3 linked regions of the Drosophila melanogaster genome follow. Changing the gene in region 2 together with the main gene of any one other region gives a genetic interaction. Each region holds a gene or a part of one and is shown on either strand. Other genes may lie near its edges.

Region 1 (3,758 bases), on a different chromosome or scaffold from region 2:
ATTCAAAGTGAAAGTATTCGATTACCCAAAGCGATCGTTAAGTGAGAAAGGGAAAAGTATCGAAGAAATTATAAATTGCCGACAAAGCCGAGGGCCAAATACTTGAGATTTCGAGAGGGAAAGGACATAACAAGGAGAAAGTCAAACGAGGACAGTTAGCCGCACTAATTAACAAGCAGAATTGTTTATTTTTACAAGTGCCAAGTGGCCACTTTTTTTTCAGATCGACCGCCCTTTGTTTTCACAACTTGTGTTTTCCTTGGCTTTTGACATTTTGGTGACATACGGGACTGCCACCTAAAAAGACACACATGTAGATGCACAGACAAGGCCAACATATTAGGAACATAGGCTCTTTTTATGAAAGGAAGTGTAAACCTTTTTCTAGAATCAAAGTATGCACTCTACTTTTTAGAACCAGCGTTCTTGTGTCATAAAATTGTATTTAAAGTTATCCCAATCTATAATGCTATCGTCCGTTTTGCTTTTGAATTTGTTAATGCTGATAAAACATTTTATAGCTATCAACTTAACTGCAATTGTAACCAGAACACACACGACGCATCCCTCCCCGTCCACTTTCACCATTTCTCCCAGGGCGAAAGTGTCAAAGTGACATGCCCACTTTGTCGCTACCCGACTTAAAAAATGTCTCAAATTACAAAAATCACACAACAAGACGGTTTGTTCCTCGCACAGGATAAGCGGGATTAGTCAGCTTGTTAGTTAGTTTGGATCTCCGCGTTCCGTTTTTCAGGATCGCAGGATTTCCGTCATGGCAATTGGCAATCCGAGCAATACGTAATGAATGTGACGAACTGTCAGTTGTTTCGAGTTTCCTTGTCGCAGCCGCATTTTCTTTGCATTTTTTAGCGGGTTAATTGGCACTGACAAAGGTCTTGACTTTTGCCTGGGAAACATAACAATTTGTTGACATCTGTAAATATTATGGGGGAATTTTCCAGAGGACTAGCTTCTATCATACAGCGTGTGGAATTGTATATAATTACTAACGGAAAAATATCCCTGTTAACTTTTTGAATCGCCATAATCTAAATTTCATGATCATATCCTCTTGAATATAAAAAAATATAGCTTTACAAATAAAAATGTCTTGACTAATGCTTATAGATATACTATGTTTTCAAATGGACTTCTATAATATGTACTAAGCGAATTGTTTAAAATATGTTCTTCCCTTTACCGAAATAAATTCAAATTGCATATACATTTTAAATAAACTTGTAGTTATTTTCGCACTCTTTATTCATGTTTTTAGAGCACAGAAAAATTTCTCGAGCTCAAACTAATAAATTCCCAACGTCCCATTGCAATAACCTTGACTCAAGGTCCATGTCCTTGCAGATAAATAAGAAAGGAAAAACAACGGGATGCAACTGCAGAAAAAAAACAGAGACATAAAACTCACTCAAAACAGAATTGAGTGAGACACGGAACGTGTTGGAAACGAAATGGAACAGACGGAAGATGGAAGAAAACGTCAGAAGAGGAGATAACAGGAAATGGAATGCGACGACAACGGCGAAAAGTTGTTTAAAAAAAAAGACCAAGAAAAACCGCAAGCAAAACGTTGGCACTTCATAAATGGGCGAGAAAGAGAGGCAAAAATAAAAAGAAAGAGACCTCGCTATGGAGAAATAGAGAGGTGCGAGGGAGAAGGCCAAAAGCGCCGACATTTTTAATTGTAAATGAGTTATGACGCGTTCGTCAGAGAGAGAGGTGAGGCGAAGAAAAGAGAGGGGCGCAAGTTGCTGACAGCGCCGCCTTTCTCTCTGTCGCACGTTCACTCCCCCGCCGATTTTCCAATTGGAAAACGAGAGAGCGAGTGGCGTTTTCACTCAGAGTGTGCGGCTATAGGGCTATCCCGCTTGCACTCGTACTGGCGCGGCTCGCTGTAGGGTGGTCTCGCTTGCACACATAGGGACCATAAGAGGAATAACTGGTTTCCCGAGTTTTGCGCCTGCCGTCGTTTTTGGCTTCTCAGCGGCAACATTTTCCTGACACAATTCAGTTCGTCGTCGCCTGCCTTCCGTTGCGCACACACTCAGTCCGCGAGATTCTCAGTTCGCGTGCGCCAAAGATAAGCAAAAGAAAGCAAGAGAGATATAAAGATACAAGATACTTACACCTTGAAACATACACATACCCCTCGAGTTACCAAAGCTAAAGATGCATCTAGCTTTATAAGTGCCAAGTGTTGAAAAGTGACCAGATACAATACCCCAATACCTTTCCAAGGTATTCCCTAGTTAAAGCCCCATTAAGAACAACATCATACCCTTCAAAATGCTGGTTGGATCTCATCCGTATTTGTGCAACGGGGTGCCCGCCGCCCCTGCAGCACCAAATGCCAGTGGACAGACAACAACAACGGCTAGCAAAAGTGCCGCCGGCTCAGCGACGGACTTTTCCATCGCCGCCATCATGGCTCGCGAAGATGCCTCCAGTCGGGAGTCCTCCATTCGCAGTGCAAGTAAGTTCAGATACATATTGAAAATATCCTTAATAAGAAAGGAATTCTGTGGGAAGCGGCAGAATCATTAATCGGTTGATAGGAACAATTTGTTCTTAAAAATATATTTTTATGCATTAGAAATTTAATGCCTTGAATATTAAGCATTTCGATTATATAGTGATTTTTAAACAAGATTTTTTTAGGCTTAACAGACTTACAGCAAGATTCATTGATGAGATGTAGAATATCTTTAAGATACTTTCATTTCTGTAGTCTCAAATACCATAGGGTACTTTTGTTTAGAACTTCATTTGACAAGCTATAAGTTCCCTAATTCAACAATCTTTAATCATAGTAGGTAGTTGTAACTTTAGATATTCACTTATCTCCTAGCAGTGCTTTCTGTACAAAAACTTACTTAACATACCAGCACACAATAACTAGAAATTGCTAAAACAAAAATGGAATTTTTATACGATTAATTCAAATTAAACGTGATTAACAACTCAACGCCCAAGAAGAGAACCGCAAACTTGACCAGCGAATGCAAACATTATTAGCCACAAGACAATCGCTAATTGATTGCACAACAAATCTATTAAATTACTGTTGTCGCTTTGGGTGCGCAGAGTTCCATTTAATTGCTAATGACAATTAGCAGGCGTTCCGGCCACGTTAAAAAAGAAAAAACTAGTTCTCTCTGGCCGACGGCATTCGCAATTAAGTCGAGCCAAAGATCGCGAATCCAGATATTTGTTAGCAAACACTTGCAGCGCTCTTTTGTGGCCGATATTATGATAATATGCAAATTGTGCACAGCATCTAATCGCGCGGAATTCATATTTAACAAAGGCTGCTAATTATGTTAATTAATTTTCAACAATGTGCTTCATTTTATTAATTTTACGAGGCGCAGAAAATTAGCGACGGCCGAAATCAAAACAAAAACGCTACGAGGTGTTCGTATTTTACGATCTCTTTATCAAATATGCAGCTTTTTTAATTTCATATTTTGTTTTGTTTTTTTTGTTTTCTGTGGTCGCTTTCCGTTTTCCGTTTGCTTACTTTGCATTTTAACACCTACCGTCTGGGCTCACCTGCAAAAAAACCGGGCTGCTTAGTTCTCCCCATCATTTTGTTACCATTTTCGGCTTATGGAAAATGGAAAGCGTATGTGAGAGTTCGCCCATGGATAAGCCCAAAAATATTATTCATCAACTTTTGCGCACACACCTTGAACGAAAGCCCTCCGCTTTTGTTTATGCAATGGAAAAGAGCAATC
Region 2 (3,758 bases):
CCGTGCGGCCAAATGGCGCCAAATGCATTTCGAATCGCTTTGAGTCTTGTCAAATGTGCAGTAGCGCAAGTAAATTAAAATGAATGTGATAGGAACTAAGAAAGTAGGGGATTCATGTATGTTCCGCGTTCACTGTTCACGCCTCGCACGTGTCATCGCGAAGTGAGCCATTGCAGCTGATCCCCAGCTCCTCGCCGCCCTTGGGTCAGCAGGAAGTGGGTCCCCTGCCCGATGGCCCAGTAAGTGCTTATCAAAGTGAGTGGCATAGTCAGAGGTTTGTCATTTCCACCTCCCCACGAGAAAGAACGACGGCGAGCTGAGTCAGCTGGGAAATTAATTAAGCGGGCGAGGCCAGGTGCAGATTGTTCAGTCCTGCAGCTGCAAAGATTACCCAGAACACGCGGGGCAAACGGTATGCCACTCCTGCTGCAACCCTCGACGCCCATACAACTCCATATCCTTTGCGCATGCGCGCGCATTCAGTGTGAGCAAGAAGAACAGAATGAACAGAGAAACGGGTCCAATAACTGGGAGAAACCACGAAACCATCCAGCCGAATGCATCTTTATCGACTTGGCCACAACAATTCTGTTTGCAGCTGCCGTCTTGGCATTTTAAGTGTCGCTTTGTTAGTGCACAGAACGAAATTGTATGTTATTAAGGGATCAGTCGAGCAGCACAAGGTGGTCTTCCTCTTTTTGGCCCAAAAGATGTATCTTAGCCGTTATGTAGCTTATTTCCCTTGGCAAATGCCGAACCAGTCGAACCTCAAGATATCTTGAAATATGTATCTACGTGAACTTTCAATTTGTTACTACCGCTCGGCTTCATTTTAGCTTAATTATGAAAACACCAGCTTGGAGGTCAATTAGCCAGAGTCACATCAAAACTGACAGACAACTTTTGTCGGTTTTTGGGCTGCAAGACAGCTACATACCAACTATAAAAGCCAAGAGTCAACTTAAACCTTCGGAATGCTTTTGAGTGTTAATGATGGCCATAAAAAAAAAAAATGAAAACAGCATATGTAAACCGACTTACCTTGATCGAAAAAAATGTTAATCCAACAATAGTTTGTGTTGCGAATCGTCGTCGTCGAGGTTGAGTTGTTGGAAAATTTGTTTTTTTGGGTGTATTCGAATTTTTCAGCCTTTATTATTTGTTTGGTTTCGGTTGGGTTATAAATATGTTTAAATGGTATCTGCTTCTGGAAACTGCACTTTGCTTGGCTCTCGCTCTCCCAATGGGATTGTATCTCTCGGATACGTTTCGTTTCACAACTTTTGCAGCATATAACGTATTTTTCACGCTCTGAACTACTTTTCCTATTTCGCTATGGCTCGGGTTTTGAAAGTTTTTCGTTGCTACTGCAATTGGCTTCGTTTTTCACTTAACACGATTTGTAGTTGTGGCTATTGTTTTGGTTTTCTATTTTTTGTTATTTCTTTTATTTTATTTTTTTTTTTTGGGGTGGTAAATCCAGTTTGCCAGTTGCAATCGTCAGGCGTACTGCGAAACGTATCTTTGTATCTGGCGGATGAGTGAGTAATGCGCACTGCAAATCTATATGAAGCTCAGAAATGTATCTGTGTCTGCGTTCTGCTCGCGCGCGCTCCACGTTCTCAACTGATTGCGATCGTGCTCGTGCAGCGGTTTTTGTTGACTGCGCTCTCTTCGAATTCGAGTTCGAATTTCGGCCCGGCTTCTCAGCTCTGCAGTTTCTCTCGACAACAGCTGTGGACATATTTGTAGATCGCGTACAGAAAGAAATTAGTATTAAAAGGACAATTAAAAGTTGGAAAAATTAAAAAAAAAAAATATTTTTACTTATTGCGTTAACTTTAATTTTTGTTCTTATTAACAAATGTTTAAGAATTTAGTTTTTGATATATGTCTATATATAAATATTTACCTAATTTATATAAATAAATCATATCAAAGTATAGAATTATATAGTTTATTACTGACTTAATATCGGTGAATATATTGAAAATTTTTAGTTTTTTGTTTCAGTGTATATGCAGACCCGCATTTCGAACAATCTTTCCTGCTTATTGAGCCAACAGCTAAGGTCAATGAAAAGAGGTTCTTTGGCTTCCAGAATGAAGGAAATACGAATAGTTCCTTGGCCTATAGAAATGTGGGTTAACTTTAGCTGTATGAACTTTTTTGTTCAAGGATTAAGGGATTTGAAAACAGACTTTATGGTATTTGTATTCTTATTTATAGGGGTATTAAGGAAACGAAAGATTCACATACAGCCAGAGAAAGGCAATCCGTCGGGTTAATCCCTGCATTCGAATGTTCTAAATATCTTTTCTGGAAGCTGTCATCGAGTGTCTTTGACACTTCTGTGCGCAGTTGAAAAAAAAGTATTTTAAGGAGTAGTTATTAAAAACATGTTTTGAAATAAAATGTTGAAATTAATATGTCATAAAAGAATATACAAATATCCATAACCTTTATATTTTGTACTTTTCCTATATTATTCCACGTTTTCTATGACTAGACCTTGACACTTAATTTATCACCATATTCATTAACAATTTTCGAAGATTTATCATGCACTTGTGCATTCATTAATTCTGTAAGTAACTAACTCATTAATTTCGTGGAACGTTCCTAATTATTCAGCCAGCATTGATCGTCGAGTAATTACAGGAAATCCTTTTCCTGCCGCGCACTAAAAAGCATTTCAATGTTTTGCGGCTGGCACGCATGCCAAGCGATATCGGGATACCTCTGGAGATCCTTTTTGGGGATTCGAATCGGAATGGTATAGCATATGGTAATACATACATATATATATTTATCTGTACTGTAGGTCAGCCATGTGTGCAGAGCTGTCAAGTGCGTGCTGGAATCCTTTTAACCATCGCGTGAGGCGGGATCATGCCGCTGATCGAGTTACGCCAGTTTTTACTTGGAAATTTTATCAGTAGTTGCAGGACCACGCCCACGGGCACGCGTACGCCCTGAAAAAGGTGCATAGGTGCAGGATCGATCAGCTGCACTCGAATTGCAGCGCAGATGCAGCAGCTACTCTTTGAAGCGGTGTCCTGTTGCGATCTCAAGTGCATCTAATGGCTTGTTTATCAGCAGTTGTCGATCGCCGGGCAAATAAATTGAGTAGGTACCATTTTCCTTAATTGATTGCGGCGTTGTTCTAATCATTTCTAATTGCGATGCGAAGGACGCGCGTAGATAAGGACACACGGAGAAAAATGTATACCCACAAAAAAATAATGTAAAATCAAGCAGAACTTGAAAAGTACTTTTGATTTTAAGAATATAATATAGACCATTTTATAATTTTAAGCTAGCAGTATCTTTAATATCAATATAAAAGTGATCAAGCGAATGTTTGAATATTTATTCACTAATTTTATAATCCTGCATGGGTTTTTTCCAAGTGCACATACAGTTAATCCCCGGCTCATCCTGTCCACATACGAACCCAAGCCAAAACAGCTGCCTTGCATCCAATTGCAACGTTTTTTCCCTATTGTCTGGCCAGGAATCGGAATTTGAATCTAAGCATTAGGTACGAGTATCTCGAAGGCGATAAGAATCGTCTTGGACACAGGATGTGCAATGAGAGTTGCCAAAAAAAACAATATATGTACATATATATATAATATATAATGCCGTTGGAAGGAGAGACCCGAAAAGGATGTTTACTTAGGCGCACGTACGTGACGCAGTGAGGCAATTTCTGTGTGTCCGGCTGATAATTGCCCAAAAGGAATGCCTGGGTG
Region 3 (3,758 bases), on a different chromosome or scaffold from region 2:
CGCAAAGCACACCGATATGCACTCCGATAATTACCGTTTTCATCATTTTTGTGGCGGAAAACTCGGACCTGGCCAATATGATGCAACGGGCATTACGAAAAGCACCCAGGTACCGTAATGTGGAGTGGAATGTGAAAATAGAAGAGGCTATTTTCCAAGTGAATCGATCTTGTTCGTATTGTAGAATGCTAGGGAATCGGTGAAGCGTACCGTGCATACAATGAGAGTCAAGACACTGGGCTTGGGAAGAGAAATTACTATCATATCATATTGTTACTAGACTGAGCTATGAGTATTTGCATATGGTTCTCAACCAACCACAGGTAATAATTAATCACAATCCAACTAGACTGTAAGAAATATCTAATCATATTTGGAAACAAGAAGAACATACAACAAATTATGCGCAACAATCAGATAACAAAACAATAATTAAACTATAAAACCACTCCCAAGATCCCCATAAAATTGTAACTCTTATTATTTAAACAAGCCCCAAATGAAAACGCCACAATCAGATCCTCTGAACAGGCAAATAAATCAACTAAACCTTAGATAAACCGTTGTTGCCGAGTCTTCATCCATCTCATATGAGTGTACTGCGAACCAAATATAGCCCAAGTTATCTGTTTACACGTGTAGATCCGACAAATTGTTGACCTCAACCAGAGACCAAAACTCAGACATTGTAAGACGTCGGGTGGAGCGAAGTGGGGAAGTCATATGCAGCAGATAACCAAAGCCAGATTAAGGTGGAGCAATTATTTATCAGCTGCTCAGACAAGACACTTTTCTGTTTCCATGACCATTGTGACGTAGTTATGGGAAATACATGTACCAAAAGATGGTGTTTTAACCAATTCGTAAAAAAAAGCAACGACGGCAATGGAGTGATACAGGGGTAATGTCTGTAAACACCGATTCTTGCACGATTACGAATATAAAAGAACTCCAGATATAAAAACCATTGTGCTTACATATTGAGAAAAAATGTTTTTATTTTTGACACTCTTTTCTGCTACTATTTTGACAATGGTTAATTTAACAGTTCACAACAAAAAGTATACAAATTATCAAAATTCTCACCTGTTTGCTCCACTGTGCACTGTGGTTACGTACTGTAAGGTGAGTGAGTGAATTTGTCTGTTTGCGTTGGGCTTCGGATTCGATTCTTGAGCTTTTTAGCGACAGAAGCAACGCGGAAGCGGATATGTCCAGATCCCAGAATGCTTTAGCTTTTGCTTCGCTTTCTTGTTTTATTTTTGTTTTTGGTTTTGTTTCTGTTAATTCGATGTTGTTCTTGTTGTTATCTGCTGATGACGAAGAGGGCGTCGCGCCAAGTTGCCATTGTTGTTTGTGTTGCTGTTTCCTTTTGGTGAGGGGCGCCGCGTGGGCGGTGGTTGTGTGCTTTTGGGGCTAATCCAGGCTCTCTGTTTTTGTTTTTGTTTTCGCTTCGTTCTGCGACAAATGCCAGCCGTAAAGCGGAGCAAATGAATAAGAAGAAGGCGAAGTCAAGCGTTTTTACTTCCGCCGCCGCCTCAGCAGCACGCACACACAGGCAGACGCGGGCACACAAACGCACACGCACACTGTAAGACACTCACGCGATGCACTTGCACTCTGGCGTTTTGTTCGTGTATTTGTTGTTGTACTTTGGCATTTCCTCTTTCGTCTTCCTTTTCACTTTTGCTTGCACTTCTTGTTGCGTTGCTTTGCTCTCGCTGATGTTGCTGTTGTTGTTGGCGTTGTTGCTGTCGCTCTTGTTTATTTTTTATTTCCGTTTCGCGCACACACACACCGGGCAATGTAAACACACACCGAGTTAAGAAGAACCGTTTATTTCCTCAACGCCGCGCACGAATTAAATTCTATTAATTGTGAATTAATCAATTTAAAACATATTAGTTTGCCATTTACAGCAGAATGTCTAGTTGCTTTCAGGAGCGACTCTTCTACACGTCCGCCCAGCACGGCAGTTTCTTTTTGACTGCCGATTCGATTCGAACAGGCGGCGAACATGAACAAGTCGGCGCATGCGGAGAGAGAATCGAAAGAGAAAGAGAAGCAAAGAGAGCGACATACAGCAAAAACAATTCAAAAAGAACTGGTGAAGAATACGAAAATAAGATAATTTTTTAAGGAAGTCGCGCTTTGATCCGTATCCGTTTTAGCGTCCAAGATTTATATCTTAAATCGGACCTATATTTTGAGGTACAGTGAAGCTTTGATGCGCCAGTCTTATATGAGTTAAAGTTTTAACGATTGAAAGACACCCCTGAGCTGCTCATTATATTTCAATATTTATAAACAATCTTATATCAGAGCTTGAGAGACTTGCATGCGCCACAAAATTCCAATTCCAATTCCGGAATAATTTCACAATAATCTCAATTAACATACGTATTTTATGTTCGTAATTTTTTAAAATTCCCAGATTCCCCACAATTGCCATAATAATCTCGATTATGTTATTATACTCTGAGAAGTAGGAGTGTGTGCAAAGACCACAAACAAATCATTAGGCGCGTAAACATTTACAGATCCACCATCCACTTCCTTGGCAACGAAAGAAGCAACAGCTCGCAGAGGTAATAATTTAAATAATTTAAAACCCACCAAAGTTTACTACGAAACAACTCAATAGGCAACCGCTGTCTGTGGGCGGCGTCGAATTCGCGTGGGGCGCTCGATTTAGTTGTTAATCAATAGAAGATAAAGTTTAAACAAACGATTCATGCTGATACCAGAAGCATGGGCGCCGAAATACCAAGGGATCGTTCTCTCACTAGATAACATACACACCTATTGTGACTGGAAACTTGAAATGATCGAGCATGCCATACCCATTAGCTGTCAATTGTGACTATTGGCGAGCTTTTTGCACATAAACCATAGATAAGACAATTCCGTGAACTCTAATCAGTGTGCGATAATGCTCTCAAGCATTTGAAATAATTATGAATACGACCCCCTGGCCGAAAATGAAATAAGCGCCACGCGCCTGGGAAAAGCGCTCTATTGTAATACAAAATGTTTGGAGGTGCTAGCTGATAGGTGTTTTCGATCCCATAAATCTTGGATCTTCATGGAAACCAGTTGGCAATCTTTAATTATAAATTGTTGGAACATTTCCGCTCGGCTGCGACGGAAAATCTCTTTGGAAAGGGGGCGGGGCTGGGGTTCCTCGTCAGGTTGCTTGGACGGTCGGTTGGTCGGTCGGTCGGTGGGCCTGAAGATGCGCTCAGTTGCACTGCATCCGCTTTGGGGTCTCCAGTCGCCTCAGTTGGCTAACCAGTTTCTCCCCGAGCAACGAGCAACGTTTACGTTGACATTTCAAGTCAAATGCCCATAAACGGCGACCAGCCGGACGACCCCGCCCACGCCCTGCACGCCCCTGCTCAGTTCCGTGGGTATGCACTGAAAGAAAATCTAGATTAATGGGCATTTAGGTAAGTAATAAATAGTAACATGTATTTTTATGGCTATAAATAGTTTAGCGAGTAAGCCTCGTGATATGAAACATTAAAGAACTTTTAGATTGTGACTCTAATTAAGAAATATAATAGAGATATTTTTTTCAAGTGCTATCTTTTCCGTCGATAGCTGCGATGGCGATGACGACGTTTCCAAGTGATCGCCGCAGCGACGATCACTGGCCCAAATTAGTAGCTTCGGTCATGGTGCGTCGCCCATCGGGAAATTCCAGGGTGAAAGGGTGGCTGGCGGAGGAGGAGGACGGGGCGGAAGGGGCAGAGCTG

Evidence for each region.
Region 1: of edl (region 2) and mid, changing one suppresses a phenotype caused by changing the other (phenotypic suppression), as found in Drosophila melanogaster (one study listed by BioGRID).
Region 3: of edl (region 2) and aop, changing one enhances a phenotype caused by changing the other (phenotypic enhancement), as found in Drosophila melanogaster (3 studies listed by BioGRID).

What each region holds. Positions count from the first base shown.
Region 1 is NT_033779.5:5,459,611-5,463,368, forward strand, and holds the start of mid (midline), read left to right. Parts: upstream 1-2,028; 5' UTR 2,029-2,307; coding exon 2,308-2,494; intron 2,495-3,758.
Region 2 is NT_033778.4:18,671,905-18,675,662, forward strand, and holds the start of edl (ETS-domain lacking), read right to left. Parts: upstream 1,633-3,758; 5' UTR 1,042-1,632; intron 1-1,041.
Region 3 is NT_033779.5:2,176,761-2,180,518, forward strand, and holds the start of aop (anterior open), read right to left. Parts: upstream 1,995-3,758; 5' UTR 1,087-1,994; intron 1-1,086. UniProt on the Drosophila melanogaster protein: Ets-related protein that functions as a negative regulator of photoreceptor development acting antagonistically to pnt and the proneural signal mediated by RAS. It acts upstream of SINA to inhibit R7 development.